Linked DNA regions of Arabidopsis thaliana. The main gene of each other region encodes a partner of the protein of the gene in region 2 in a complex. Each region holds a gene or a part of one and is shown on either strand. Other genes may lie near its edges. The genes, in order: CPSF100, CPSF73-I and CPSF160.

The links.
Region 1: CPSF73-I (region 2) and CPSF100 share a complex: the UniProt entries of both Arabidopsis thaliana proteins name them as parts of the CPSF complex.
Region 3: CPSF73-I (region 2) and CPSF160 share a complex: the UniProt entries of both Arabidopsis thaliana proteins name them as parts of the CPSF complex.

Annotation. Positions count from the first base shown.
Region 1 is NC_003076.8:8,048,561-8,060,792, forward strand, and holds CPSF100 (cleavage and polyadenylation specificity factor 100), read left to right. Parts: upstream 1-3,878; 5' UTR 3,879-3,989; coding exon 3,990-4,138; intron 4,139-4,216; coding exon 4,217-4,385; intron 4,386-4,463; coding exon 4,464-4,560; intron 4,561-4,762; coding exon 4,763-4,889; intron 4,890-4,990; coding exon 4,991-5,109; intron 5,110-5,212; coding exon 5,213-5,307; intron 5,308-5,390; coding exon 5,391-5,542; intron 5,543-5,627; coding exon 5,628-5,685; intron 5,686-5,831; coding exon 5,832-5,939; intron 5,940-6,819; coding exon 6,820-7,063; intron 7,064-7,430; coding exon 7,431-7,615; intron 7,616-7,991; coding exon 7,992-8,084; intron 8,085-8,633; coding exon 8,634-8,732; intron 8,733-8,819; coding exon 8,820-8,951; intron 8,952-9,040; coding exon 9,041-9,085; intron 9,086-9,167; coding exon 9,168-9,413; intron 9,414-9,485; coding exon 9,486-9,587; 3' UTR 9,588-9,905; downstream 9,906-12,232. Other genes in the region: AT5G23870 (Pectinacetylesterase family protein), read right to left, coding at 77-206, 896-978, 1,295-1,439; AT5G23890 (GPI-anchored adhesin-like protein), read left to right, coding at 10,229-10,508, 10,925-10,999, 11,100-12,088, 12,202-12,232. UniProt on the Arabidopsis thaliana protein: CPSF plays a key role in pre-mRNA 3'-end formation, recognizing the AAUAAA signal sequence and interacting with poly(A)polymerase and other factors to bring about cleavage and poly(A) addition. Required for antisense-RNA-mediated gene silencing.
Region 2 is NC_003070.9:22,471,020-22,481,095, forward strand, and holds CPSF73-I (cleavage and polyadenylation specificity factor 73-I), read right to left. Parts: upstream 6,747-10,076; 5' UTR 6,642-6,746; coding exon 6,498-6,641; intron 6,406-6,497; coding exon 6,308-6,405; intron 6,001-6,307; coding exon 5,955-6,000; intron 5,866-5,954; coding exon 5,716-5,865; intron 5,579-5,715; coding exon 3,935-5,578; 3' UTR 3,911-3,934; exon of another isoform or gene 3,651-3,910; 3' UTR 3,611-3,650; exon of another isoform or gene 3,529-3,610; 3' UTR 3,248-3,528; downstream 1-3,247. Other genes in the region: AT1G61000 (kinetochore protein), read right to left, coding at 77-124, 289-384, 481-638, 728-842, 1,010-1,063, 1,485-1,592, 1,673-1,762, 1,935-2,114 and 3 more; AT1G61030 (WAPL (Wings apart-like protein regulation of heterochromatin) protein), read left to right, coding at 6,950-7,359, 7,463-7,562, 7,665-8,004, 8,218-8,330, 8,695-8,823, 8,925-9,018, 9,111-9,787, 9,963-10,076. UniProt on the Arabidopsis thaliana protein: Component of the cleavage and polyadenylation specificity factor (CPSF) complex that play a key role in pre-mRNA 3'-end formation, recognizing the AAUAAA signal sequence and interacting with poly(A) polymerase and other factors to bring about cleavage and poly(A) addition.
Region 3 is NC_003076.8:20,975,418-20,984,531, reverse strand, and holds the start of CPSF160 (cleavage and polyadenylation specificity factor 160), read right to left. Parts: upstream 4,528-9,114; 5' UTR 4,283-4,527; coding exon 3,951-4,282; intron 3,862-3,950; coding exon 3,715-3,861; intron 3,383-3,714; coding exon 3,229-3,382; intron 3,122-3,228; coding exon 2,986-3,121; intron 2,645-2,985; coding exon 2,499-2,644; intron 2,175-2,498; coding exon 2,079-2,174; intron 1,963-2,078; coding exon 1,910-1,962; intron 1,732-1,909; coding exon 1,600-1,731; intron 1,492-1,599; coding exon 1,440-1,491; intron 1,347-1,439; coding exon 1,227-1,346; intron 1,138-1,226; coding exon 1,006-1,137; intron 695-1,005; coding exon 566-694; intron 343-565; coding exon 265-342; intron 1-264. Other genes in the region: AT5G51650 (uncharacterized protein), read left to right, coding at 5,283-5,324, 5,709-6,089, 6,132-6,329; YLS7 (trichome birefringence-like protein (DUF828)), read left to right, coding at 7,154-7,562, 7,929-8,203, 8,310-9,114. UniProt on the Arabidopsis thaliana protein: CPSF plays a key role in pre-mRNA 3'-end formation, recognizing the AAUAAA signal sequence and interacting with poly(A)polymerase and other factors to bring about cleavage and poly(A) addition.

The DNA.
Region 1 (12,232 bases), on a different chromosome or scaffold from region 2:
ATTATTATTGGATAATGTTGCCATTTTACTCATAATGCATGGGTTTATATTAAAATAAAATGAAATTAAGAATGACCTGGATTTTGAGAGGCGTTATTGCTCAAGACTCCAGTGAAGACGACGGTCTTGCTCATATAACGTGTCGAGCCTCGACGGGTCTTGGCTCTTTCCACACATGATGCTATATCATTGCACCATCCTCCTCCCTATAACCATTTTTTACTTGTAGTAAAGATTCAAATAATCTTGATAGTTCTCTATATAGACAAATGAGTGGTCGATTGAATAAACATAAATGTGTTTCTGTTTCGTAGAAAAGAACTATAGAGAGAATGTTATAAATGCGTGTCATAAAGTGAGAGGCGTGAGACACGATCCAACTAGCTCGAGAGTCGAGACATGATAATGCTCTAAAGTTCTTAAAACGGCGCCGTAATTAGTAGTTTTCGGGTATTTAAGTGTGTACATAACTAGAAAACAAGTATTACCAATCTACCAGCTGTCACATTTTAAAATTTTAATCACTTGATTTCAAATCGTTATCAAGATTTATTTTAAGAATTTGACTAATAATTTGTAGATGACTAATACACATAAAATATTTATATCTTCCCTAGGATAGCTGGATTCAATTATTTGCGTACTCATGGAGTTGGTTACAACACCAAATACTTTAACTAGGCAGTGACCAATAAGAAAAAGAAAAAAAACTAACTCACTAAGCAAATGGTTGGCTGATTGATTTTCTTGGTAGCAAATGATTAATCCCAACCATTTTTAAGAATAACAATCGTTTTGTGTTTTAATCATTTTCGAATTAATTACAGATTTAATTCTATGACGTATATAAAAAAAAGTTAATTAGAGAGTTAGAGTAAATGTAAAATTTAATTACCTCAAACTGCAAAATCCAATTGTTTGATCCAGCACCAAACCCTCTGTCTAAATGATACGCCGGTAAGCTTCCGTCCAAGCAAACTACACAAAATGTAATTCCAAATGTATATCAAAAGAAAGTGTGACATATATATATATATATATATATAATTATATATATGTAAAATCTTATTTTTCAACGTGAGAAAACGATAGCTAATAAAGAGTGGTTTATGTTAGATGATGTTGCGTGACATGAGGTTAAAACAGTGAAACTCACCGCAAAAATAATAAATCAATATCAATCTAACTGAATTATTCAGTCTCATTTATCAAGAAAATGTTTTATCAGAAAAAAGTATGTCAAGAAAATAATATAATTCTATGAACCAAGAAAAAAAAGGAGTGTGAGACATACAAGCACCGAGAGCAGCGGCGTCTCGAACCAGTGTCATGCTAACACGCCGCCCTGGTTCGCCGGAAACAAGCGGAGGAGAGAAAGACACGTAGACAACTAGAACCATAGCCGCTGTTAGATCGAGGAGCCGAGTCGTCGTCTTCATTGTTACAGTTTTGGACGCTTCAATGGTGAAAGAAGGAGACTGGGAATGAAAACGGCGTCGTTGAGTTCTATGCCTGTTGTATCAAAGGAAAATAATTGATTTGGGGATTTAAGAGGGAAATGGAAAGGTTTATAGTATTTATAGATAATAAAGATTTTGTGGAAAGTAATTCATTTGGAGAAGAAAGGGAAAGGAGAGGTCAAGTTGGCAAAGAGGTAAGAGAAAGAGAGAGATTTATGATATTGATAGGCACAAAGAAGTTTTTGCCATCTTACAATTTGTTTTCCTTTCTATGAAAAAGATTGATTGTTGTTACCAATTGTTAGAAATCTCTTATCATCTTTAAAAAAAAAACTCATATCATATCTATGCATAAATATGTATGTATAATTCACCACATGGAGAGACTCACTTATTTTTCATGTGTATGTGTGTAAAGAGAGACATATCTGACCCAAAAAAATAATCTTTGATTTGTTATTGTTTACATTAATTTATTTATTAGAAATATAAAGTCCACATGATATTTTCTTCCTTAAGAACTTTAGCTTTAAAAATAGATGAAATTTTTCTGTTGAGCTAAAAGATTCATTTCCCTCTATACATTCAGATTTCTATTTTCGTTTAGTAAATATTTCCTTGTAATTCTACTGTGGTCCACCATTGTAAATTCATTGTTTATGTTTTTGTAAGAATTTTCAATCTGTAAATGTATTGAAATCCAATTTCTGTATTGGTATTAAAAACAAATTTCAGTGACAGCCACAGGCTCACAAAAACAGTTCTACACTACTACTTATCAGTTTCACACGAGAGCTAAGTTTAGTTATGTGCAGTAGACAGCATAGGGCGTAGATAAGGCCAAAAAACAAAAAACAAATGATTAAAAAAAAGTTTTTTTTTTTGCAAGAATAACCATATTTTGATACTTTCTTTTTATTTATTTATAAAAAATGTATTGTATTTTTAGATATTTTTCTAAGTATGGAGATGGGTCTTGATGGGTGGGTCACCAGCTGATGAATTAGAATCGAAAATCACATTCTTAGGTGTCTTTTGGTTTAGGTTCACCGAATCTTCTTAATCTATCTTTAAAGAACCAAAAAAAAACACACACAAACAATTGTCTTCAATCTCTCTGGTCATTTTTCTTATGAAAACAAGTATAATAATTACATTTATTTACACTCTTTAACTAATCAACCTATTATTACCTAACTACAACTTTCATATTCATATCAAGAAAGAAAGGTTTGATAGTTAGTTATGGTTGTTATCCTTAGCCATTATGATTTTGGTTTGGTCCTCACGGGTCCTCCTTCACCAAATGCATATGTTTTTTTTTTTTTTTTTTTTTTTTTTGTGTTGCCTTTGAAGTGAAGCTATCACAATTTTGAATCAAAATGTTGTTTGGCTTTCTAACGTGCATCAATAAAATCAGGAAGAACTTATCATTCGTCACAATCAACATACCAGCTACTTGTTTCTTATTGTCCATCATATTCCTAACAAATGATATATATAGTTCATCTCGAACTATTGAATTATTAAGTATTACGCAACACACCTATGTCAAATGATCTGAACTTCGATACTATATCAGAATTCAAATACGTTTAATTCAAAATTAACTGAAAGTGAATTCATTCATTAATATCTCTTATTTCATAGAAGAGATTTCCAACATTTTTTTACCATTGTAGTGATCTTTTAGTTGCAACATTTACTAATTAGTGATAAGAGAGCACACATGTGGGAGAATTAGGCACGTGTGAAGAGCTAAAGAGAAGCATGAGAAGAATAAAAGAGTATAAATAGGGATATTAGAGAGGAATTATAGAGATTATCCTGCGTGATCATTGATGTTGTGAGGAGAATTAGGGCTTGTGTGCTATGTTCTTGATGATAAGAGATGAGCATTGTAACTCCGATCTTATCAATATAGGGTTTTGATTCATTGTAATTGGGATTTACGGATAATAAATACAAAGGTTTATGCGTAAGTTCTTATCAACTTGTAATGGTCTTCTGGTTGCACCATATGCTCATAGATCTAGTGTATTTGGTACAACTGCTTAAAAGTTTTTGATTTACTCTAGTATATTTAACGGAGATTTGCCTATTTTTCCTTAAGGGTGTGTTTAATGTTTTCATGTTGAAACAATGAATGAAGTTTCATGTAATTTTAAATGAATGAGCAATCATAATGAAACCGATCTACTTTGAAGTTTGAACATACAATAGAATTGACTCATATGCTTATAATGGACTCACCATCTATGTTTCACTGCTACCACAACATTTTTTGGTAAAAGATTCACTAATCCCTCTTTGTGTTGGTTAAAAAATCAAGGTAAAGAGAGAAAAAATTTCAAAGATTATATGTACCAAATGAACAATTTGAAAAGAAAAGGGTTATTTTAGAAGTAAAAGGAAATATATGGACCGGGGAGGTTATTATTACAGAATTAAAAAACCCTCTTTCACGGTGGCTTCTTCTTCTTTAGTTCATCGGAGAAATTTTAGGGTTTATATCGGCGAACGGAAAAGATGGGTACTTCGGTGCAAGTGACTCCTCTCTGCGGAGTTTACAACGAGAATCCTCTCTCCTACTTAGTCTCCATTGATGGTTTCAACTTCCTCATCGACTGTGGTTGGAACGATCTCTTCGACACATCGCTCCTCGAACCTCTCTCCAGGTTTCTCTATCCTTATTATCTACATTTCCAGAATTCACCAATCTAATTTGTTTTGAATTCGATTCTTCTGGTTTACAGGGTTGCTTCTACTATAGATGCAGTTTTGCTTTCTCATCCAGATACACTTCACATTGGTGCTCTTCCTTATGCTATGAAGCAGCTTGGACTCTCCGCTCCTGTTTATGCTACTGAGCCTGTTCATAGATTAGGTCTCCTTACAATGTATGATCAGTTTTTGTCCAGGAAGGTGAGATTTTGTTAACTACTGGAGTGGTTATTTTTGCGCAATTGTCTGCATTGTAACACGATGATCTTACTGTTGCAGCAAGTATCCGACTTTGATCTGTTTACACTGGATGACATAGATTCTGCTTTCCAGAATGTGATCAGATTGACTTACTCTCAAAATTACCATCTTTCTGGTATGTGGTTTTAGTGATTTCTAGGCTCTATAGCAAACTAGAAACAATTGACACTTATCTCAAGCAAGTTTGATCTGCATTATCTATGATCTCATATCGGGAAGGAGTTCTTTGACACACATTGAGTATTTGGTTGTTGAAACCTAAGTTATGACTTCAAAGATTGTTAGGATGTCTCAAGGTTTTATCGTTGCCCTATCAGGAAAGGGAGAGGGTATTGTAATTGCTCCTCATGTTGCTGGACACATGCTGGGAGGTAGCATCTGGAGGATAACAAAGGATGGGGAGGATGTTATATATGCTGTTGACTACAATCATCGGAAAGAAAGGTACATATGTTCAGATTTTATCTTATTTGAAGTTCGAGTAATGTTCATAACAGTAAGTAAAGATGTGGACTCGTGATACTGAATTGTATATCTTAATTCAGGCATTTGAATGGAACTGTTTTACAGTCTTTTGTTCGGCCTGCTGTTCTGATAACCGATGCATATCATGCTCTTTATACCAATCAAACCGCAAGACAGCAAAGGGACAAAGAATTTCTAGGTTAGCTTGTAGCCCAATATGTGTTGTGTATCTTCTATAGTATTTAAAACAGCCCGCTTCTAACTGCCAGAAACATGTGTGCATGTCCCCATTTATCATTCAGATACCATTTCAAAACATCTTGAAGTTGGAGGAAATGTTCTATTGCCAGTAGACACTGCGGGTCGTGTCCTGGAACTTCTCTTGATACTTGAACAGGTAATAGAACCGCTTTGAATGTATCATGCTCTTAGTTAATGTTCAGCTGTTTTTTAAAGACTGGATATTGATCAAACCTGCAGCATTGGTCACAAAGAGGTTTCAGCTTTCCCATTTATTTTCTCACGTACGTGTCATCTAGCACAATTGACTATGTTAAGAGTTTCCTCGAGTGGATGAGTGACTCCATTTCAAAGTCCTTTGAGACTTCACGTGATAATGCCTTTCTATTGAGGTAGATTTTCTTATAAGAATGCCTTATTTGTGCCGTCGTTTGTTTAGAATACAGAAGACATCACATGAAATTTAAACACATGCAGGCATGTCACTCTGTTGATAAACAAGACTGATCTGGATAATGCTCCACCTGGTCCAAAGGTTGTTTATAAAATTATAAGTAACTCATTAGTGTTTGTTAGTACATAGAACGTGGTGGATTTATTATTATTTCCTGTCTTTTCAGCTGATAATAGAACTAGATTTTTTCCTATTATATGTTGTAGTGACTAAATCTCATAATATAGGTTGTTCTTGCTTCCATGGCTAGTCTCGAAGCCGGTTTTGCTCGAGAGATATTCGTGGAGTGGGCAAATGATCCCAGAAATTTAGTCCTCTTTACTGAAACAGGCCAGGTATGTTTTTAGAACCCACATACGTTGAGGAACGAAAATTTATTAGCATTGCTATAAAGACCTGATGGTAGATTCTTTTCCTAGTGCTGATCAGCTAGTTAAGTGGATATATGAGAATCTTTTTTGTCTTCTGATCTGAATAAGAGTTCCCCCATTTATGTGTGGATATTTACCCCCAATATGTACACAATAGGCAGAGATTGAGTACCTTAAAGCAGCATTATAATTACCACCAAAGCCTGGCTTGCTCCTTTAGGATAATCTCCAGAGCTTTCAGTCTTGAATTTATCAATTAGTTACATCCAGTACAAAATAAAGGGTCTTAGTAGACTATCATATTAATGGAATTGACACCACTATGCACAAACTGTCTAATTGGCCATATCATTCATCTCAAATGAACATAATTTTTTTTTGTAACCGCGTACTTTGTTTATTTTTCTTCTAGCGAGACATCATCCTGTTCCCTGAAATATCATACTTTTAATTAAAATTCAATCTAGACAAAAATAAATTTATTCAAATAAATAGTTTGGAAACAAATGGAAGCTTTGGTTAATTATTCACGCTTTTCTCAGTTCTGTGTGACTATGCTTTCTTGTCCATGTCAATCTATCCAGAAAACAGAGCATTACGGAATTATTAAGTTTGAAATACCAGTAACACCGTAAATCCAAGTGAAATTATCGAAGTTCTTCATCCAATTTGTTACCTTTGCCATTGGTCGTGTTCCTTAGTTGCGATGGCGATTATACTTTCCATGTGTCCATTCATAGTTCACGTGATCTAAGATTTGCAAGATGTTTCGGTTTGTAGTCAATCACATAAAACTAAACTGCTGTTAGTTTGATTTTTAATTGTCATTTGCTTCTATTTGCAGTTTGGCACTTTAGCTCGTATGCTTCAGTCAGCCCCACCTCCAAAATTTGTTAAAGTCACCATGTCTAAGAGGGTTCCTTTGGCTGGGGAAGAGTTAATTGCATATGAGGAAGAGCAAAACAGACTGAAAAGGGAAGAAGCTTTGCGAGCTAGCCTCGTTAAAGAGGAGGAAACAAAAGCTTCCCATGGATCCGATGATAATTCAAGTGAACCTATGATCATAGATACCAAGACTACTCACGATGGTAAATTTTTTCTTATTTTATATAACATTTTATTACCCTTGAATATTCTGTGGCCTGTAACTTCTTATTTTTCATGTAAACTTTAACTTAATTGAAGTATCTAGTACTGAAAATGGCTATGCACATAGTACCCTCTGTAATGTACTGGTTAGTTGGTTTTAGGAGGCATTTATGTGGTTATCTTGAGTGACCTAGAAGCTACATTTAGAAGTCTCACAATACATTTCTGGGTAATTTGTTTAGTTTTTCACAGTCCCACAATATGTGTCTGTTTCAATTAGACCTCTGGCTACCGTTGTTGATTGCTCTTCTTTCCACTACATAGTGGTCTGCAACTGACCTTTTACATTTCTGACTACTCTTGCAGTTATTGGTTCTCACGGGCCTGCATATAAAGATATATTGATTGATGGATTTGTTCCCCCATCCAGCAGCGTAGCTCCAATGTTCCCATATTATGATAACACATCTGAATGGGACGACTTTGGGGAGATTATTAATCCAGATGACTATGTGATCAAGGATGAAGACATGGACCGAGGAGCAATGCATGTACGTTCCTTGAATTCTGGTCTTGGTCTTGGTCTTTCTTAGCTCTTGTTATATTTGCAAATTAGACCTCTTAATTTCCATGATGTTTGCATAGTGGTGGTTCCTTTTACGATTTTTGTATCAAGAAGAACAAAGATGTAAGAAATCTGCATGATATGCTCTGAGGATTTGGGATACAGATAGGAAATCTTTTGCCATAAAGTTGCTTAGGCTCTTGATTTGGTATGAGTGCAGTTCTTCAAATGAGTGCACTGGTTCTACAGTTCCATCTTTATATTTTCCTTAACAACTGATTGCTTACTAGTAAAGGTTTAGGGTCATTCTATGTAGAGTCTTGTGTTGCTTATTAAATTTGTGATATAATTTTCCATTTCAGAACGGAGGTGATGTGGACGGAAGGCTTGATGAGGCAACTGCTAGTCTCATGCTTGATACAAGACCTTCGAAAGTCATGTCCAATGAGCTCATTGTAAGTAGACTCTAATTATATCCAAAGAACAATACATTGATAGAGATTTTGTCTCAGTTAATGTCCTCATTTGTTCTCCCTTTCTAGAATCTCTGATTATTGTTATAGACTGCTTATCAATGATAGGCACAAGGAGTAGTCTTCTCACTTAGAAATAGAGAGATAGGAATTCTCATTGACATGGCGTTGTGCCTGTCAAATTTATCTTCATCTGATGATATGCATACAAGAAATTTATTAATTGATCTTCTAATTAGTTATCACGGGAGACCTTGCTAATCAGATCTTTAGCACGATAATTCAACTTACAGATATTTTGTTGTTTGGATTAATCGGTCTAATTTTCTTCTTGTTATTGAACAACTTTTGTGTTCTTACTTTTACCCACTTGATCTTATGTCATGTAGAAGTTTCAGAAGGTTATTCTCAGAACGTAGGCCTTGCCTGCTAAACAAAACAATATGGCTCTTTAGTCTTCTTCTGTCTATACCTAACTGCTGTCTAATTTCCCTGATAAATGATTTAGTTTGTTCTTATGCTTTTGCACAGGTGACTGTTAGTTGTTCACTTGTTAAAATGGACTATGAAGGTCGGTCAGATGGCCGCTCAATCAAGTCAATGATTGCGCATGTTTCTCCTTTAAAACTTGTACGTTTCTCTCTCGTCTTATATATATATAGTGTTAAGCACTGAACTGGAAACTTGCGGTGATCTAATACTATATATCATGTGAAGGTTTTGGTGCACGCGATAGCTGAGGCTACAGAGCATTTGAAGCAACACTGCTTGAACAACATCTGTCCACACGTGTATGCTCCTCAAATAGAGGAAACGGTCGATGTGACTTCTGATTTATGTGCTTACAAGGTAGAAATTACTTAGAATTAGGAAGATCCTTTTTAACTCATGGGTTTTGAGTTGTGTGATTGAATTAACCCTGTATGGTGATACATCAGGTCCAACTTTCTGAAAAGCTGATGAGCAATGTGATCTTCAAGAAGGTACCTTTTATTTCCGTGACTATTTTTTTCTTCTTTTCCGATTTGCAACCAATGTCTCTGAAGAATGATGAAATAATATCAGCTGGGAGATTCAGAAGTAGCTTGGGTGGATTCCGAAGTAGGGAAGACAGAGAGGGACATGAGGTCTCTACTACCGATGCCAGGTGCTGCTTCGCCACACAAACCTGTTCTAGTAGGTGATCTGAAAATCGCAGACTTCAAGCAGTTTCTGTCGAGCAAGGGTGTTCAGGTAGAATTTGCAGGTGGAGGAGCTTTACGTTGTGGTGAATATGTCACTCTACGAAAGGTTGGACCGACGGGTCAAAAGGTAATTCAAAGCAAATACTGCATTTCTTACAACAAATCAGAGAATGACTTATATATGTTGGGGATTGTTCAGGGAGGAGCATCGGGTCCACAGCAAATTCTGATAGAAGGACCGTTGTGTGAAGACTATTACAAAATCAGGGATTATCTCTATTCTCAGTTCTACCTCCTCTGAGCATGATATAGAAAAAAAATGAAGCTTCTTCTCATTTTCTCAACATTTTTCAACCACTCAACATGTAATCTCGTATAGTTTATTGCCTTGCTTATAACCCTCAAATCTTATAGATTAATGTGTTAAAAATGGCAATAGCTTTTTGTAACTTTTTTGTACTTGTCATCTTAGTAGAAGCTTAAGTTGTCATTGGATATATTCCACTCCTATTTCGGTAAAGCGGTAAACTAAAACAGTAAAACGTGATAAACTCTCTTCTTTGTTCCTTGTATGTTCTCTCAAAAGTTTAAAATGAAAGCGAAAACACTTTCCATTCAAGAGCTTTCAACACCTGGTCTTGGCTTCGTGCTGACGTGGCATCTAGCTTTTTTTTTTCACTTGTGAATTAAACCAACCATATGTGTTAAACATGGAAAGATAAATAAAAGCAATTAGGTGGTTAGGTGTGTTAGTGTGAGGCTGATCACTGTCCAACGCTCTCCCTTTGTGCAATATTCTGTAACGAAACCAACCAAAAACACAGAATACATTTGATACAATTACTTTAATTCCAATTAAACCCTAATCCTCCTCTACCATTCTTCTACTGACGATTCTCTTCATATTTTCTTATCCTCTCTTACTCTCTCTACAATCAAACCATGGCTTCTGCGACCGCCACGTGGACACCTACCTCCCTCCAGCTTCGTCTCGCTTTGAGCTCCGGCGTGCGTCGGAAATCTCCCGCCGTTTACTTACGACCATCGCGATTGGCTAGGAAATCGGGTTATGGAATTGTCTGTGTTTCGCAGAAGCCTGAAGTTGATGCGTGGACCGGATCGGATTCGTCAAAGTCGTCGGCTGATAATTTGGCTGGGTGGGATGATTCCGATAACGATGACAAGAAGTCTTCCAGAGTTAAGAAGAAGAGTTTGATTGAAGGTATATGCGGATGAACATCTGTTTTTGGATTCTGATTTTATTTTTCAGTGTGATTCGGAGTTTTCGAGGTTTCGTAAGAACCAGCTGGTGAAATGTTTGATTACACAATGAAGCTAAAACTATATGGCTGCATAGTTTACAAGTGTAATTTGGTAGGAGCCATGAGTGTTGTTTTCTTATGGATGTACTACACATAATCTTTAGATTGAGTTGATGAACCGTATACGCCGATTTGTTTTTGTGGTCAATTGTTATTGAGAGGTTCGCTAAACAGCGCACATACTCAAATGGTACATTGCATGTTACGTTGGAGTTTGGTTAAGTCTCTTTAGCATTTTGATTTCTCTGTTCTGAAGCTGTTTAGTTTACCGGTTTTCTTGTGGACTAATAACAATCTGGAACTAGTTTGCTTTCAGGTGTAGTTGGGGCTGGAGTGGCTGGAATCATTTTGTTTCTTGGGCTAAGCTATGCAGCAGCATCTTTTAGCAAGCGTAATACTCCTTCTCTTAAAGCTATTCAAGCTCGTTTCAAGTGCCTCTTTCAGAATTGTTTGTACTGATTTATTGTAGGGGAATCATCTTTTGAGCGCAGGAACAAAAAAACAGGAAATGCATTCGTTGACTTCTCAGCAGGAAAGCATGATTCAATCATCTGATGAAATTTCTAGTGATGAGATTAAGGTAGCTAACAGTGAGGAAAGCAATCTTAAGGACGAGGATAAGAGTATAGAAAGCAATGATGTAGCTCAGAAAAGTGATGAAGGGTCTGGCGAAGATAAACTACTTGGTAAGGAGACATCGTCATTTGATGGTGTCATGACTGATGAAGCGGATGCCACTGAAAGTATCCCCCAAAATACTCCTGAAGCAGATTTGATGGTCAATGCGGAAACTGATCCTGAGACAGCAGAAAGTGAGAAAATAATATCTGAATCTAAGTCTCTGTTAGACTCATCCACTGAGCCTATTCTTCTAGATGCAGAAAGTAGTAATCTTGTGGGCGTGGAAAATACAAATTCTGAAGATCCAGAGAGTCTCCTGAACACTGAACCAACCAATGTGTCTGATTTAGAAAATCATGTTAACAGTCAGAAGGAAGATTCCTTATCTTCTTTATCAGGCATCGATGCTTATGCAGCCTCGGGGACTGTAACTGAGCTTCCTGAGGTTTCTTCACAATTGGATTCGACTTCAAAACCTCAGATTGTGCCACTAAATGACACGGAAACAGCATTTGCCACTGCTGAAGAGCTTTCTGAGGTTAACGGAACACCGGAGTACTTCGAAACCTCAGATTGGTCATCAATATCAGACATAGATACAACGAAAGAACTTGAATCTTCAAAATCTCCTGTGCCAGAATCAACAGATGGGTCAAAAGATGAACTAAACATATATAGTCAAGATGAGCTTGACGACAACAGAATGCTTTTGGAAATACCCAGTGGTGGAAGTGCATTTTCTTCTGCTGGAATTCCTGCACCTTTTATGTCTGTTATAGTTAATCCTGGGAAGATTCTTGTCCCCGTAGCTGCGGATCAGATCCAGTGTCAAGCATTTGCAGCTCTGCAAGTTCTGAAGGTAATATTATTTTTTTATGTTGTATAGACCCTCACTATGTATATCTTGCACTTGTGATTGTTCTGGCACTTGTATACCTTGCAGCTTATAGTTCAGTTTGTTCCATCTTTCAGGTCATTGAAACTGATACACAACCTAGTGATC
Region 2 (10,076 bases):
ACCATTTGCAGAGAAAATGTGCTCATTACAATCTCTCGTCTACCTTAATTTAGATGAATCAGACCTTCCTTGTCCTTTAGAGGCTTGGTAGAAACGCATCAAACGACACCGTGTATTCATGAAACTGCAAATATCAAAAGCAAGGCTCACTAATATGTCTTACAGAGAATCTGGAAGAACCCTAGTAGCTTTTTAACTTTGGAAACCTCTTTAACTTGATGCACCACAAAGCTTTTGTTTCCATGGTTCAATATATTAGCAGATAAAAATAATGGAAACGAAATAAACCTGCTTCACGATCTCTTCATATTTAGCGGCTAGTTTTTTAACTTTAGCTTCTCCTGACTGTCTCACCTGGTTAGTCTTCGCAGTATTGTCATCAACCTGTTGATATATAAACAAATAAAACTTACGGAGATGATAAAGCATCGTGCACAACAGATTCACGTTGTTAGATGTTCGATAGAAAGGAAGCAATACCATAGCTACTACTGATTCAACATTCGTTTGCCTGGTTTCAAGTTCACGTCTTCTGGATTCAACCTCCACTTTTAATTCATTCAACTGTTTCGTCCAATCATCAAACATGACTGCTTTTTCTTTCTCTAGTTGTTTCAATGATTCGTTCAACTGTTCCACTGTTGACAGAAGAGATGATTACAGTCTCCGTCCCAAAACAAAATTCAGAAACAATATCTGAAGAAGGAAGAAATAAACCAACACTTGCCTATTCTTTCCCGCTCAACCACTTTCGCCTCAAGTGATTTGTATGCTACCCCATCCTCACTCAGCTTATCTTTAAGAGCTTTGAATTCTTTCTCAACCGTTTTCGCATTGGTTACCTGTAACATCATCAAATATACATAAAAATGAAAGATAAATCTAAAGACACATTAGATCTCATTCCAATAATTGGAAGGATCTGTGTGTTGCCACATGCTAGAGATACAATACATGGTTCACAATCTATAAGCAATGAAAGAGGAAAGGAGTTTTTTTGCTTGGTCACCTGTTCGTTTATTAACTGCAGTTGCGAAGATGACTTTAAAATTTTCTTCAAGGCCTGCAAAAGGCAACCATAGTTGAATAAACTTTATTACCTCAATATTAAAGCAAAACTTATTCGACTCAAAAATAAAGCATAAAACTGTTGCAAGACAAAACATAAGAAAATTTTGAAGTAACAACACAGAATAAGGTCTCAATCTAATATTTTCCATCTTGGGATCATTCTCATCCACTATACAACAAAATAAAAGAAGTTCTTCCTAAAGCTTCTGGACAGAATTTCATGAAGTATGAACAAAAGTGATAGAGCAATAAACACACCAAACTTAGAAGAATAATGACTTGAAATATCCTTCTCTAAAAACTGGTTTGAGAGCAGTATCCGCAGTGACCATTAAGTTGCAAATGTCGTAAATGCATTTAGCTACTTGCTAAGCGACAGGATTTAGTAACAATCTAGAGTTTTCATTAGATACCTTTTCAAAAACCTCAAGAATGGCAGCCTTTTCCTGGAAAGTTACCATTGCTGATTGTTCAGCTTTCTTTGTTTCCCCAAGTACTAGTTTCTTCTCTTCTAAAGCTCCCTGTCTCCACAACAAACGTTTATACTAGTGTATACCAAAAGTTTATCTTAGGACTAGTACTAGTTGGAATAAAAATATACCTGCAATTTGTCCGGTGATTGAACAATTTGTGAGCGGAGGTTTGCATTTTCTTGGACAGTTTCCACAAGATCAAACTCTGCTTTGGAAATCTGTAGAGAGAAATACACATGTCAGGAGCAGAAAACGCCTCTCAAGTTCAAGCATATGCAAATCACCTAATTGACAAACAAAATTTGTTTCTTCACCAACTTCATAATAAATTACAAATAACCCAATTTAGTTTGAGGAAGGAGCTCGACACCATATCCTGCGGTTACGTACCTCGTTATCCATCTGTGTACTCTTCTCTCTCATTTTCTGGAAGGTAGCTCGCAGTGACATCTGCTGATTATTTAGTTCCAATATTTTTTTATTCAGTTGTTCAATGTTCGCTTCTAGCTCTTGGACAAAAGGTAAGTCCCTCTCAACGGCTTCATCAAATTCTCCAATCTCTGCATTCAACTGCATGTACAGCTTTTAGAAAAAGATAAATGACTTATCTATGGGATACATATTTTTCTTGCATTACCTGAGCAACCTTTGCCTCACACTGCTTTCGCTGCTCATCAAGGAGACCCAACTCTTCTGCCTTTGGTCTTATAAGATCCATTTTCGAGTCTCTGGTACGAAAAAAAGATTAAAGAAGATCAAGTGGGACAAATAAGAACTCTCTATTTTAACTTCTTGGTGCATCGAAATAGATACTACAGAGAAGAACTAAGAGCATGAAGGACATACTTGTATAGACCATAGTTCAAAAGTGCGCTGATGAAAAACTCGGTTCGGGATGATTCAGGGCGTAAGAGATCCTTGAAACTAATTGGTAATGGACAATCAAGCATTTCTAACATATCTTTCACTTTGCAATAAAGCTTCATAGCTTGCATTGAAGTGGCATGATGATCTGGATTCTCCAATTGCTCCAAAGCCTCAAAATCAACTTGCCCTTTCTCTTCTCTACAATGTCGAAAAACGCAATTCAAAAAAGAAGCATCATCAGAAATTCCCCCAAATTGAAACAAAAAATAGGGTTTTCAAAATTACTTAGCAGTTCATACAATCAAAAATAGAAAATCCCAAAGATTCAATATTTAACATAATTTCTGACAGAATTCGATGACCTAGCTCGAAACTAGACGAAGAGTTTCAAAATCGAGGGTAAAATTGAGTGAAGAGCTAAGAGAGGAACTAGGGTTTTGAGGAGTACATACTCGTCGAGGGCGTCGAGATAGATAAGAATTCTGGTGTAAAGCTCGGAGACAAAGTCGGAAGTTGGGGTTTTGAGATCGGTCTCTGTAACGCTAGCGATTTGAGCATCCTTGAGCGCCGTGATAATGTCGGAACGAGAGAGCCTCGGGTACTCGTAGGCTGACATAGTTTTCAGTTTTGGTCAGGTTCGGATTTGTTGTGTCTGGATTCGAAGAAACTGAAAATGACAATTTGGAAAGAAATGAAAAAAAAAAAAGAGAGCCTTTGATTTTAGTTGGGTCAGGTTCGATTTGTTTTTTGCATTTGCTTTTCCCGCCTATATGAAACTGCAGTCTCTGCAGATATTGATGCATATTTGGATACGGTAGAACGTAGAAGCTTTTATAAATAAAATTAAAAAAGAAACTTTAATCTACAAAAAAAAAAATTAAGCATTTTAATATTGTAGAGATTTGGTCTTAATATCTTGATGCACTAGACATCTTGCCAAAACATAGAGGTCAAGAGACATTCACTGATGTGAATAATGTATACTTTGTACGTGGAAAAATAATAGAAAATGTGCTCATTACAATCTCTCTTCTACCTTACTTTAGCTCAATCAGACCTGCCTTGTACTTTAGAGGCTTGGTAGAAACGCATCAAACGACACCGTGTATTCATGAAACTGCAAATATCAAAAGCAAGGCTCACTAATATGTCTTACAAAGAATCTGGAAGAAGCCTAGTACTTTTTTAACTTTAGAAACCTCTTAACTTGATGCACCACAAAGCTTTTGCTTCCATATCCTAGATCAGCATAATGATAGAAAAATGCATATGGGAAAAGCACGAATCAGCAAAATGATTTATGAAAAAACCTAAAAAAGTTAAAAACTCATAGTTGATAACATCCATAAGACTTGATCATTATCACAGTAGGGTAGTAGCAAAGTTTCTCAATAAACACCTTCTTAAATAACATCCATTAGACTTGATCATTCACTATTACTAAACATGGGAACAGAAACATCATCAGATGGATAAAACTCTATGATGATTTAAGATACCTCAACGATGACTTTAAAAAGCTACTAAGAAGCTGAGAGAGGGATTGGTTTCACAGCGCTCTGAATCCGCTCAAAAGCTACTCTCACTCTTTCCTTAAGACCTGAATGCTCACTCTCTACCTCTCCACTCTCTTTATCCAGCTGAGCGACATTGCCATCGACCCTAATCACCAGTTTCCCGTTTTCTCCTAGTTTCACATCCCCGAAAAGCGAAACAAGAAGTGCGTATATCACTTTCTCAACTTTCTTCCCGTTCTCTTCCTCGGATTTCACAGCATCTTCTTCTTCCATAACGATCTTGGGGACTTCTCGGCTGATGTTGAGAATCAGAGCTACAATGGAGTCTGAAACCATGTCACTTATTGGATCTGATGACCACTGAAGTGAGATGTGCTTCTCTGACTCTTGTTTCACCGTTACTCTTTCATGAACTTTCAGTGCTGGAAGCCCCGATTCCTCATCTGTTGAAAATTCCACGCTCTCGAAAATCTTCTCCAGGCGATGTTTTATCACACCAAAAGCTCCTACAAACGGGATTGTAATTCGCTGAGTTACAGTTGCTGTTGATAGCTGTGAGAAAACATGGAGTTCGTCAGGTGCCATTATCTGATAAGTGAACCCTTTCTTCACCAGAATCCCGCTTACTGTATCGCCAACATCAGGTGTCTTTTCCGCCAATCTCCCAATGGTTTTCGCCAATTTCTCAGAATTAAAATACATTTCCACTGACTCACAGTTCTTCGGGGTCATGATCTTTGTGTTTCCATCAGGAAACTCTGTTAAGAGCTTCTGTTTGAGCCTCATCATCTCGTTAGCTTCACCGTGAACAAGGATGATGTTAGGAGGCATGAGCTCTTTCAAGAACGTGCTCGTCTGCGCGTAATCTGCATGAGCAGAGAACGATATATAGTGCACTTGCATGTTGAGCGGAGCAGTAAGACCATTCATAAGAGTCACCTCCTTTGGTTCATTAATTATCGTCTTGGCCAGTGTACCTTCCACCATATAACCTGGTATGATACAAGCATTCTTCTTATCTGAACACCAGCTGTCAAAGAGTTGCCTTGAGAGACCGCTTTGAAGACCTCCAGGAGTAGCCATTACCACAGATGGACCGACATCATTAAAATCATCGATGCTGTTTAATGGAGAAATGTGCTTGAACACAAACGGATTAGAATTTGCAAACTGGTTGCGGATTCTGTCGTTCATAGATAATATGTAGGTTTGGTAAACCGCCATACACTTTTTGGCGAGTGGTGATGCATAGTAGATTGGGATATTGTGTAGATCTGGGTGGTTCGCCCAGTATTCATCAAGAATCAAGAGAAGTTCCTGAGCACGGCCCAGTGCAAAAGCCGGGATCAGCACACGTCCACCCTGAGCAACCGTTGAATGGATTACATCAGTGAAGCGTTTCTCACGAATATGACGAGATTGATGAAGCTGGACACCAGAAGTGGATTCAATGATGCATATGTCAGGGGAGAATTGAGGAAGCTCAGCTGCTCTCAGATGTCGGTCTTCCTCACGGGAATAGTCGCCTGTATAGAGGATTCGGACACCAGCTATATCCACCATAAACATGGCTGCACCCAAAACATGGCCTGCCGTGTAACACCAGAACTTTATGCCATTCACTTCAACTGTTTGATGGAAGTCAATTACCTATAGAGGAAATCAAATATAAACCTTAACTCAACAATCACAGTTTTGAAGCAGATTTAATTTCTTTTGAACTTATCCCAAACCTAGTGGAGCAGTCAAAGTATAAACATAGTCATAGAATATAATGCAGTACTAACCTCAATTTTGTCCATAGACTTGTTGATGTCTTGTTCATCGAACAACATATCTTCCACAGACACTTTGCTCACTTTTACATAATCTGTAAGCAACAGCTTGTAGATGGCCTTTGTTGCATGTGTCATGAAAACCCGCCCATTGAATGTCGTCTGATCAAAACATCAATAACCTGAATTAGTTCTCAGCTATGTTTTAACACATCCCAAAAAACAAAATCATTTTGAAAAGAGAAACAAACCTTCTCCAGAAAATAAGGTAGAGATGCTGCATGATCTATATGAAAGCTGCAACCAAAAGCATCAACACATTATATGTTATCTTAACCCAATAAACCTCTTACACAAAACACAAACTCTTTCAAGTAGACAAACAGAGACAGAACAAACTCTAGCCTCCTACAAGCTTGAACTAATTAATCCAAGAAGGTCTCTCTACTACACATCATCCTTCTGTTTTTGTATAAACAAACTTAAACTTCGAAGATTTTGCTCAAATTATCATTCTATTCAAATCAAGACTATCATTTTCTCTTCAAAGTTTCAATTTTTCTTAATGGGTATTAGCCAAAAGAGGAAGAAGAAGGAAACATACTGAGTAATCAAGAGGACATCAATGGAAGAAGGATCAATCTCATCGAAGTAAGGCAACGCAGCCATGCCCGAGTACGCAGGATGAATCCCACAATCAAACTGCACAACACAACCAAAATCAACTATAAGACATGCCCCAACAACAAAATCAAAACACATTTGCTTGATTAGAACAAAACGGAGAAGCTGACCAGAATATTTTTGCCTCGGAAGGACATGTAAACACAGGAACGACCCACTTCACTTCCGGCTCCTAACGGAGTAACGATAAGTTGATCTCCATCTCGCGAAATTGGTTGCTCTCTTCTTTTCAGAGAAGTAGAAGAAGAAGCCATGTTTCGTCTTTCTCGATTTTCCTCCAAGAGAAGAAGAAACTCAAAGAACTGAGTACAGCAATTTCAGTTAGTGTATATCTTCAAACCCTAAAAGCCTTTAAAAAAAAAAAAACGACCACAGTGGGAGTCGAACCCACGACCTTCTGATCCGAAGTCAGACGCGCTAATCCACTGCGCTATGCGGTCAATACATAGCAATTGAAAATATTATATTTATATAGAAAGTCATATTATATACCGAAAATACCCTTGTCTTATTTTGTCACTCAAATCTGCGAACGAAGAGAAAATTCGAAGCTTTCTCGGCGATGATGGAGCGAACTTACGGCCGTCGCAAGCCGGGGATGTTAAACGACGACGTCTCGCGGGCGGAACATATTTTTCCGTCTTCTTCATCTCCAGAACTCGAGCCAGTTGATTTCTCAACTCAAGAATCATCTTGTGTCTGGAATTATTCTTCAAGATCCACTTTTTCGGATAATGATTTTTCTGAGAAGAGGAACAAGAGACCCAGAAACGGTGGTGGAGGGTTTGGTTCGAATTCGACTTTGATGGAGGCTCAAGAGTTCGGCGAGTTAATTGAGAATGAGGACGAAGTTAACTTCGCTCTTGATGGGTTGAAGAAAGGACATAAAGTTAGGATCAGAAGAGCTGCTTTGTCCTCTCTACTCTCGATTTGTGAATCTCAGTATCAGCGACGCTCTTTGAGAGCTTTAGGGTATGTTTATTTACTTAAGATTTTCAGTATCTTCCTTTCTAGACTTTCTAGGGTTTGTTTGAAGTCGAGTTCTTTTAAAAGTTTCTGAATTTTGTTATTTCAGGATCTCACAGTCCATAATTGATGCGATTTTGGGTCTTTGCCTTGATGACATACCAAGCAATCTTGCTGCAGCTACCCTTTTCTTTGTGCTAACTACTGATGTAAGTAACTTATTTGCATTGTGAAATCTGCTTGTGATGCTCTTTTCTCTTGCTCCATTGGCATTTTTCTCTTGTTTACTAGTTTTATGTTCATGATTCTAGGGTCAAGATGATCACTTTATGGAGTCACCCAACTCCATCAAGTTTTTGGTTAAGCTGTTGAGACCTGTGGTTTCTGCCAGTACTAAAGTAAAGCCGCGGAATATAGGATCTAGGCTCTTATCAATAATCAAGGATGTTGATGCAGCACGTGATGCAGCCAGTATGCATGATTTAAGCTCCTGTGATATAATTGACAGAGCTCAGGAAATTCTTGTTAATTGCAAGGAGTTGAGATTGATTGATAGCTATAAAATCGAGAGGATGAGGCCTGAGCTAAGTACGAAATGGGTAGCTTTGTTGGTGATGGAGAAGGCGTGCTTGTCCAAAATCTCTTTTGATGGTACTTTAACTTCCTGTCTGTTTTGCTGGAACAATGACTAGCTAACTATTTAAGACGCATCTGGTATATTATATTGAGTTATAGAATTGGAAAGTTATGTTATCTGCTTCAGTGAATCAGTTTAACAAATGTGTCAGCGGTAATAGAATCCTACGACCAGATTATAATTGATTTATAAATTTCTAATTATTGATATTATCATTCCCCATCCAGATACCTCTGGTACTGTGAAAAAATCTGGAGGAATGTTCAAGGAGAAACTGAGAGAACTTGGAGGACTTGATGCTGTCTTTGATGTTGTTATGGATTGCCACACTGTAATGGAGGTGTGAACCTGTATGTTATAGGGATCTTGCTATATATGTCTTTATTTGGCTAGGACGTCAATAACTTGTGTAAAGTGTCGTAGATTGGTAGCTTTATAATTGTTTGCTATCTTCAGGTTCATGTTTTATTTCAATCTAATTTATTGCTGAAAATCGTTGCAAGTCAAGGTTCTTTTCTTGTCCTTGGGCAAGAGAATTCTCTTGTTTGTGTAACACAGTTTAATGTTATTGTGACTGCGTTTGTTGTGGACAAGTTGGATGTCTGTCTTAGTGGTGGCAAAGACTCTGTACTTAAGTTGTCAATAGTTACTGGACCTTTGCAACTGTATTTAATAAGAGTCTCTATTGCATATTTTGTTTGCAGAGCTGGGTGACTCATGACACACTCTCTGTCGAGGATATAAAAGATGACTTGAATAAGCAGAGTCTGATGTTACTTCTGAAATGTCTAAAAATCATGGAGAATGCTACATTCCTCAGCACAGAAAACCAGGTAACTTTTATTTATTTTGGATTCCCAGCCTCATGATAGCTTGTATTGAATAGCTCTGCAGTTTGCACCTAAAAAATAACTGTACATAATATATCTTTCAGATTCATTTGCTCAGACTTAATAAAAGCATGGGTTCTCATGAATCCCGACTGTCTTTCACAGAGCTCATGATAAGTGTCATCAAAATACTTTCAGGTACCCATTCCTATATTTGGATTTTACCACCATGACTTGCTTCGTATGTTATCATCTCTTATGCTGATGGCTGGTTGGAATGATTACACCAGGTCTTCAGTTACGTGCTCACAGGAACGAAAAGCATCCTCACCCTCAGCCACATCTAGCTTCTGCTGTTAAGAAGGGCTTTGTGACAATTATTAGTTCAGATACTTGCTCTACCACTGGCTTTAGCTCCATAAAAAGTTTGAGCGTATCCAAGAGAAATCAGTCTGCATTCCTGGTAGGTTGCTCAACGACACCAAAGCCGGGGTCTCAATCAAGTGTAATGTCGACAATTGATCACTGCACGCTGACGACTACAGCTGGTTCCAACACTGGGTCGTTTGCAGGCAGATTAGCCTCATTGGGTAGTGGCATTTCCAGAAGTAAAACAAGGACTAGCCAAACTAGAGAATCCAGTTGTAAAAAAGTTGAAAACTTTGCATCCTTCGAGGATAGTCAAGATCCTTTTTCATTTGATTTAGAAGATTCAGGACCTTCCAGATGGGCAGTAGGAAAGCAAAAGAAATCTAAAGGTCAAAAGAGGAAGGGAAGCTACAGAGATAAGAAAGATGAACGCTCGCTTCAGCTCTTCTCGAGCCAGGAGGAATCAAACCATGGTTTAAATTCTCAGGAGGAATCAAGTGATAGAGATCACCATGTAACAGAGCAACCTTCTTTAACATATGACATTGATAAAGGATGTCTCTGTCTTTTATCTGATTGCCTTTTAACAGCCGTGAAGGTAATGTACAGTCTTTTTAACAATTACTTTTCTGTTATGTAACAAATTTCTGCAGCTGGAATGAAAATATGTTTGGACCAGAATGGAATGTCACCTTTTATGCTAATCTGTTTAGATATGTGAGGATATCATGTGATCTTTTGCTACGTTCTGATTCTGTTGAACATATTTTCAGGTATTAATGAACCTAACAAATGGTAATTCTGTTGGTTGTCGGGAAGTTGCTGCCTGCGGAGGACTGGAGAGCATGGCTGAATTAGTTGTTGGACACTTTCCTTCCTTCACCAGA
Region 3 (9,114 bases), on a different chromosome or scaffold from region 2:
TCACATAACAATTTCCACTTTTCTGTCTATATCAATACTAAACAGATAAATACCCCAGTGGTGGATAGTAATTGTGAAAGATATAAACCCGCGAGAGTGTCGTAACAATGCCTTCTGTTCAGAGCTCACTACAAACTAATGAATTTTAAATGAAATCCTCTCCATGCCATAGTAATGGGAGTAAGGGTTTTAAACTAAAAGATCAACAAATGGACGATTCCCAATCTTCTCATATACCAGACACAATTTGAGATATACGCATACCTCAGTAATCATTTCCGGTCTAATTGACTGCCGAAGAACACATAAAGCACCATTCTTCCCATGACCAGAACAGCACACCTAAACGCCAAAATTCAGATTTTTAGTTTGGGGGCTACAGTTTTTAGACAAATATGAGGCAAGCATGTCAACAAATAAAGTTGTGGAACAAAGGATTTCATTGTTACGTAAAAGAATACTTCAAAACTAGACATTACTAAATAACAACCCTAAGCAAGTTATATTTTGTATAAAACAGTTCCATGGCTAGTATAATATAAGAACTTCTACCCAAACGGCTCACCAATTCATAGTTGCTCTGTTTGGAAACCCCAGTGGCGTTTGCATCAGCATTAATCCTTAAGCCATACGCAAAATCTTTCACTGGGCCAACATTAACTAGTGAATCTCTCACTGCAAATGAAAACGATTTCTGCATTTATTGGAAAAGAAAATATGAGAAACTTCATGGAAAGGAGAACATAAGCTACCTAACTCTTATTGATACAATACATGTTGCACAAAGGAAAAGTCTTTCTTCGGTAGTTAAACTAATGAAGTCATTTTCCGTTCAACATTAATTTTTTTAGACTGAATGTTTGCAATTGAAAGCACACATAGATAGGAAGATGGAGAATGTTCTGCAACGGAACCCCAATTCATATAGTAGAGCCATCTAATTTTTCCAAGATTGAACCTCAACAGAAAATTCTACGAAACTCTAACCAAGACAGAACTTGTTACCTGTGCTGAATCAGAGTTATTTGGAGTTGAACCAAACAATGAAAGCTCCTCATTTCCAATTGTATCTTGGAAAGTATCAGAAGTCATCCTCAAACGTTTTGCTTGATGACCCTCACCTTCAATGTCTTCATCCTGCATAAATTTAGGAAATTTTCAAGTTCTGGATTAACAATTTTAAAAAGAAGTTACTCTGACCAGCCTAAGAAAGATTAAACTATCACCTCATCTCTCAAGCCAGGTAATGATGCTGCAGGCCCAGATCTACAGGAAAATTGCACCAGTAAACTGTCTCCCAACCGGCTACCTAAAAAGAAAAGGGAATTTCCAACACTAGTAATGTCCTGCAAGAAATTTGGTATATCATCATAGGGAATCTCTAATCGAACAGGATCCAAATTGAAGTACAAATATGCTGAAAGAACATATTGACTAACCGAAGCAAGCACAGAGGCTTTTGATTTGGAAAGATCAAGTCTCTGTACAGCACTTCAAAAAAGAAAGTAGCAGTCAGTTTCACATATTTTAAACAAAATAAGTTGCAGCCAGCTTTACAAGCGTCAGAAGATTTTTTTTTAAAGAAGATCAAAATACTACCGCCCATCATATATAAGAGTCAGCAGCAACAATTCCCCAGATTTTGTCGACAATAGGGCCACATCGTTCGATATCCAGGTTCCATGGGCAGCATCAAGCTCCACACTGAAATTTGATGCAGGCAGTTCTTGACTGAAAGAAATCAGACGCACACAGAGATAGAAATGTGGTTAACAGTATAAACAGAGTTTTACAAATGTTGAAAGTTGATTCTAAGCTTTAGGATTCTAAACTAAGACTGAGGTAACAAGATTATATCCATAAGCATGAAGCAGGTTTTGAAGAGTGGGGAGGTGCGAGAAAACTGTACCTGCTATCAGCTGAGGAGGCATAATTGTTCAGTGCCAGAGCACAGGAGGCTGACTACAAATATATATGGTATCCAGATGTGTGAGTAACTGTAGAACTTTGAGGTGGAGTGGCTGGAATTGTTGAATTTTAAACAAGAAACAACCAAAAGCTAAGTAATATAAAACTACCTGACTATGATAATGGATTGTATTTGCACACAACACAAGAACACCTCCGATCGGAGATGGTACTGCAAGTAGTTTGTAGGCATCATGGGGCAGATTCTGGAAAATACCAAAAGAATGGGAATAAGTATGATCAGGGACTAACGTTTGCCGAAGTAACTATTTCAGTCATGAAATAGCTTGTTATTTTAGGAAATTTTTCCTAAAGAAAGATCAACTCTTTGAGCATTCTAAACAAAAAATAGAGCATCGTCATAGCTGATTGGAAAGTCTAGTCATGTAACAACAGTGGATATTCAATAACCTTTTAGATGACTTCAATTTCTACCCTTAGCTTACAATATAGTTAATAGTGCAACTCAAATATTTAATTTCTTGGGAAGAGATCTATTATAAGATACAAAGAGGAAAATACGAACATACAATAGCTGACCAGATGACTGGGTGTTGTTTTAATGTCGAATTGATACTAAGGGCAGAAAGCACGCAAGTATGGTGCTTCCATGAAACTCGCCCAGCCCAAGTATGCTCTTCTTCCTGAAGGATGACAATTACAGGCTCAATATAACCTGAAGAAGACACAGGATGCAAAAACACATAATCAAAAGAAGCACCACTTAGTTTATTCTTTATGCCTACTGGGAAAACTAGAATATCTAAAATTTCAGACAGCTAGTTATTGAAAAATCAAAGAAACAATACATTTCCTCTTGTTTCAAACTGTAATCATGACCAGAATACATCAGTTGTCGTATTGAATCTACAAACAACAACTTAGTAAGCTAGATCCATTCAAGGACACAAGATTCGATGCAAGTTGAGCAGCTAAGAAACAATCATCATAATATATTTATGATTAACTACTGATTCAGAGATAAGTTTATGAAGAAACCTTGCTTGCTAAACCTACCATGTAGAAAAACAAAATCTTTGACGTGTTTCATTTCCAGATCACGCAAGTTAATTATGTAAGATGATTCAACTCGAGCAGAAACTGTCCCTCCAGAACTGAACGCATCATCATCTCCAACTAGTCCAGAACCAACCTAAAACCCAAAATAAAGTTCATAAAAGAAAAGAATGAAGGTTGGAAATTTGTAGCAGATAAAGCGACAGTTAAGATGAAGTTGATTAATAATGCCAAAACAAAAACCTGGGAAGTCTTGAGTATGATCATCTGCAAACCATAAACAAGAACGCCGCCACATCTGCCTTGAGGATCCACTTTTACCAAAGGGCCTCTTGGAAAAGACTCTCTTCCTCTTTTCAGATGAAGCCAATCTGGACCCTCAAAACAATGCATCGAACTGAAAAGGAACCACATATCCATTATTATTTGTTGAAGTCATGTATAGGAGTCAATGGTACATAAATTAGATAACTAGAAGAAACAATCAGACATAGACAATAGAACGCTTCAGTATATGATCCAATACTACGTAACTTGCATCGCTAGAAACAATAACAATGCGTAAGTAAAGACCAAAACTTTGAGAAGTATAAAACAGTTAAAACAATAGTTGGACACAGAACATCTCGTATATAGGTCAAAAGAAACAATTGAGAGGAGACAGAGCTGAAACTAAAGCTGAATTCATTTATTTATTTACCAAAACCAACAAAAGCAAAACACTCTTACGTCATCCTAAGGCTGTGAATTGAATCATCAAACTCAAGAACTGAAATTTTGGCGTCGCGAAATGTCAATATAATCGAATCTCTTCCCTTAGAAGAATTACCACCTCCCATAGGAAGAACCGCAATTGACTCAACATTACCGTGCAACCTACAATCCAATACCAATCACATCGTCACTTCAAAGTCAAAGTACCAAAATTGGAGTAATTTAGGAGGTAATTGTCAACAAACACGTACCTATAATGGCACACGAGCTCGAGAGAAACACCATAGACACCATCCATAACTCCACCACGCTTAGCAAGCTTCGGATTCCTCAGCTCCTGAGTATTCCCTTCCTCTTGAGCCCTAACGATGTACACCTCAAGGATATTTGCGGCGGTTATAACGACGTTGGGCAAAGGACCAATACCTCGTTTAGGATTAGGCCACTCAGCTTCAATATCATCATGAACGGAAACAATCGGAATCTGTAGCGTTGAATCGGAGAGAGAGTGGGTGATATAGCCGGAAGCACAGTTCTCGACGCCGGTAGGCCAATGCATCATCTTATAGGCCGCGAAACTCATCTTCTCTACCGGAATCTGGGATTCAGAGATTCTAATTCTAAAAATTGAAATTGAACTAAGAAGATTGGGAAGTGAGTGTGAGAGCAATTTAGGGTCTCGATTTTGTGAACATTAAAAGATCAAATCCTTAAACCCACGGGTTTTAATTTTAGGTTGGTTTTTTTTTTTAAGGGGAAACAGTATATACTCTTTATTACGAGTTTGGTCTTTACGAATTTCTTTTCCTTTAGTTTTTTTTGGGGATTATTTGTTTGCAAAAAGAACATGAAATATTTTGCGAAATCCGTTATATGTATCAAACTTGTATTGTCCAAAAAGTAATACATTTTTAAAAAAATAAATGTAATGTTCTGTTTTTAAAAGCATTAAATCAATGATGATGTGGATGCATAAGAATTGAGAAGAGAAGAGAGGAACTTGTTATGAACTTTCTGATTGGGACACATATACACATCTTTGGTCAAATGATGTTTTTCCAATGATCTTTATTTTGTTTATAATTTTCTATATCGTTTGTCAACAAATAATGCCCAAAAAAAGAGGTATTTCTTATCACTATCTATGACACACCAAAGCCAAAGGGAAGATAGTCCAATCTTTATTTAATACCCAATATATACCATGAAACCAAATTTCTTCTAGAAATATACTACAACATAAAAGTAGTGGATTTTGCACCATGATTTTGTTTTTGCAACATAAAAGTATTAGAAAGTGTTATCAATCATTTTGAGTTTCATTACTGCATTAAAACTTTATATATCGAAATATATCATTTTGTAAAATATTTTTGTTTTCCTTTTTAGTTCTAAAAAAGATCCTTAGTATCAAATTTCCCCAAAAATCTTTATACTTCTAATAAAAAAATCTCAGCAAAAATATGTAAGAGATAAACGTATTTATTATTTATGTTTTAGATTGTGTTTTTGTAATTAGTATTTTAACCCCTTAAACAACTTAGAGACGATAAAAAAAAATATAATTTTCACTTAGAAAGAGGATGACAGTAATTGTTTTGGAGAACAAGGGGATGCCTTATAAGGTTTATGAAAACAAATGCTAATAATTAATTGATTTAAAGATACGTTCATATAATATTTCTTATTAATTGTTGAAAAATCTTGAAAAGGAAAATAACCAACTTTGGGCTTCCTCTACTTCTCACCTCTTGTCCTCATAAAATAAGAAACCTCCTGCAAGTCTCTGTGAAACGATTTTGAGTGTTCCTCCCCCATACAAGACGACAACAATGATAGCTTTAAGTTTAACCACCTATAACTACTCTTTTTACATACTTCTTCTTCTGCTTCATCCTCTTTTTCTCCAAATTTTTATCTTATTTCTCATTACCAGAAGAAAAAATGTCAAGGAAGAAAATTTTTACACTGTGCTTGTTAAAACTATTCACAAAGAGATACTCTCTTAGGCTCCAAAGCCTCGATTCCTTTTCGAGGATTTTTGGCATCCTTTAGTGGCCAAAGGAGTTCAACGTGTGGTTCAGGAGAGGAAAGAGGGACTTGAAGCTCAAGGGAAAGAAGAGGGAGTTGAAAAGGTTCTTGTGGAGAAGGAGAAAGAAGAGGCTCATGTCTCATGGGAAAAGGATGGATCTGTGTCTGTTGCATACACATATGCCATTCATCACTTTAACCTTGAACGTGACCTTATCAACTACTCCAAGTGGACTGTTTCTGCACCTGGTAACGAAAATGACTACTTTGATACAAAAATCCTTGAAGAAGAAGTTGGCATTATCTGGGATCTCAAGGAGAAGAAGAAGGACAAGAAGAAAGAGGAGGAGGAGGATGACGTGGAGAATGACATAAGGAAGCTTATTTCTCTGTGAATCAAGTTTGGAAGTAAAATCAAACTAACTACTGCAGATTTAAGGAAACTGGCAAACGACAAGCAGCAACTTAAGAAACTTCTGAGAGAGTTTGAGAAAAAGAACGATGAGTTTATTGAAAAGTTGATGAAGGAGAAGAAGCTTGAAAAGAACAAGCGCAAGAAGGGGAAGAAAGGGAAAACGTTTATTGTTAATCGAGAGTGAGGATTTTGATTTATTTTCAAGTTAAGTTTGATATAATAAAAATCTAATAGTCTAACCAAATGTAGTTCGGTTTAGTTTAACTAATAATCTAGTTCAATTAAAAAAGTTGGACATACACGATTAAACTAATTATGAAATATAACCGTAATAATTATAATATCATGCAAAATGACCAAATCAATAAAAAACTTCAAAAAAGAAAAAAGAAAAAACTCCTAAATTGTTTAGTTTATTTTTTGTTTAGTTTAATCAAAATGAAGAGTGAAGATTTTGATTTATTTTCAAGTTAAATTTGATTTAATAAAAATCTAACAGTCTAACCAATCGTAATTCGATTTAGTTTAACTAATAATCTAGTTCAATTAAAAAAGTTGAACATACACGATTAAACTAATTATGAAATATAACCGTAATAATTATATGAATTATAATATCATACACAATAACCAAATCAAAAATAACTTCAAAAGAAGAAAAATAAAAAACTCCTAAATTGTTTAGTTTTTTTTTTTTTTGACTAAAATAAGTTTGACTTTAACAATTCATAACATTGTTCTTCCTTCCACGCTTCTCTCTCAAACTCCCAGATCTTGTCGATTTATTTATTCCTCTCCAAAGCAAAAGCTTCTTCGATCGTCCTTGTCTCGTTTTCAATTCTAAATGTAAGTTTTTCTCTTATTGATTCCTTTTTTCACCTAATAGAGATTAGTAAACAAATTGTAAAAATCGAAACTTTATTGTGATTTAGCGGAACCCAGTTAGATATGTAATCCATCAATGAATGATTGCTCTGTTTTTTTTTATAGGTTTTGTGCAGAAAAATCATGACTTTGGCTTCTCCACGAGTTTCAAATTCAAAGACGACTGTGTTGTTGTTTCCTCGAAAAGTTTCTTCAATTGCATTTGCTATTGGTGGATTAACTTCTTTCGTCATCTTCGCTTCTCTGCTTCTTTTCACGTATCCCATTGGTTCCTCTGTTACTGACTATTTCTACAGAACAGAGACCACTCAAAACGTCCAGTTTCACCATAGTATCCATGATCCTGATCGTAACCCATCTCCTGTTTCTAGCTCAGAGTCACCACCAGTATTGACACAAGATAGTGATGATAAAGTGCTTCCCAAGGGATCTCATGATTCGAATGATGTTAGATTAGGTGAAGAAACAAACTCAGGGAAGTCTTCAAATGTTTCCATTGATGAAGAAGCTACACAAGATCATGTAGAAACAGGTACTGTTAAGTGATTGCTTAAGTTTCTCTAATTGTTGTAGATTAGTGTGCAAATTTATGTGGAGTAAGTTAAGTAGCTATTTAATGATGATTTGACTTAATTACTCTTGAAGGATCACTGAGACAAAAAACCAATGCTACTAATTAATGATGCATTTAACTCTTAAGTCCTTAATCTGGAATCTTAATGACCTTTGGACTATATAGTTAGGTACCTCCTTTATACTAATAGTTATCTGATTTGGTAAAATATAACTACCTTTTGACAATTATGTCTCCTTCATGTCTTCTCTCAGGATTTTTTTGAAATTGTGTTTATCACTTTTCTTACTGAAGCTTTTCTGATTTGCTTTGACCATTTTGCAGAATGTGATTTATATCATGGTAACTGGTTTTATGATCCGATGGGACCGTTGTATACAAACAACTCTTGTCCTCTTTTGACACAGATGCAAAACTGTCAGGGCAATGGAAGACCTGACAAGGGGTATGAAAACTGGAGATGGAAACCGTCTCAGTGTGATCTTCCGCGTTTTGATGCTAAGAAATTTCTTGAGCTAATGAGAGGCAAGACACTAGCTTTTATAGGCGATTCAGTAGCTCGTAATCAGATGGAGTCCATGATGTGTCTTCTTTGGCAGGCAAGTGTTTTCTTATACTTTGTGTCACTATATAGAGCTTCTTTCTTTTTCCAAGAGTTTGTTTTGTCTGTATGATTAAACTTTTGAATGATGTTGTTGTTTTCAGGTAGAAACTCCGGTTAACCGTGGGAACAGGAAGATGCAGAGATGGTATTTCAGGTCATCATCGGTGATGATAGCTCGGATGTGGTCATCTTGGCTGGTCCATCAGTTCAATGAACCGTTTGGTTTTGCTACAGATGGTGTAACTAAACTCAAGCTTGACCAACCCGATGAGCGCATAATTGAAGCTCTTCCGAATTTCGATGTGGTTGTACTTTCATCAGGTCACTGGTTTGCAAAACAGTCTGTCTATATTTTAAATGACCAGATTGTGGGAGGCCAGTTATGGTGGCCAGACAAATCAAAACCCGAAAAGATTAACAACGTCGAAGCATTTGGGATCTCTGTAGAAACAATCATAAAGGCAATGGCTAAACACCCAAACTACACGGGTCTGACCATCTTACGTACTTGGTCGCCTGATCATTATGAAGGCGGTGCGTGGAACACTGGTGGATCATGCACAGGTAAAGTAGAGCCGCTTCCTCCTGGGAATTTAGTTACAAACGGGTTCACAGAGATAATGCACGAGAAGCAAGCAACAGGGTTTCACCGTGCTGTCGCGGATGATAAGCTCGGGAATAGATCGAAGAAGCTGAAGCTAATGGATATCACTGAGGCTTTCGGGTATCGCCACGACGGTCATCCTGGTCCATACAGGAGTCCTGACCCGAAAAAGATCACAAAACGTGGACCAGACGGTCAGCCTCCTCCACAAGACTGTTTGCATTGGTGCATGCCAGGGCCAGTGGACACATGGAACGAGATGGTTCTGGAGATTATTAGGAGAGATTTTGAAGGCAGACAAA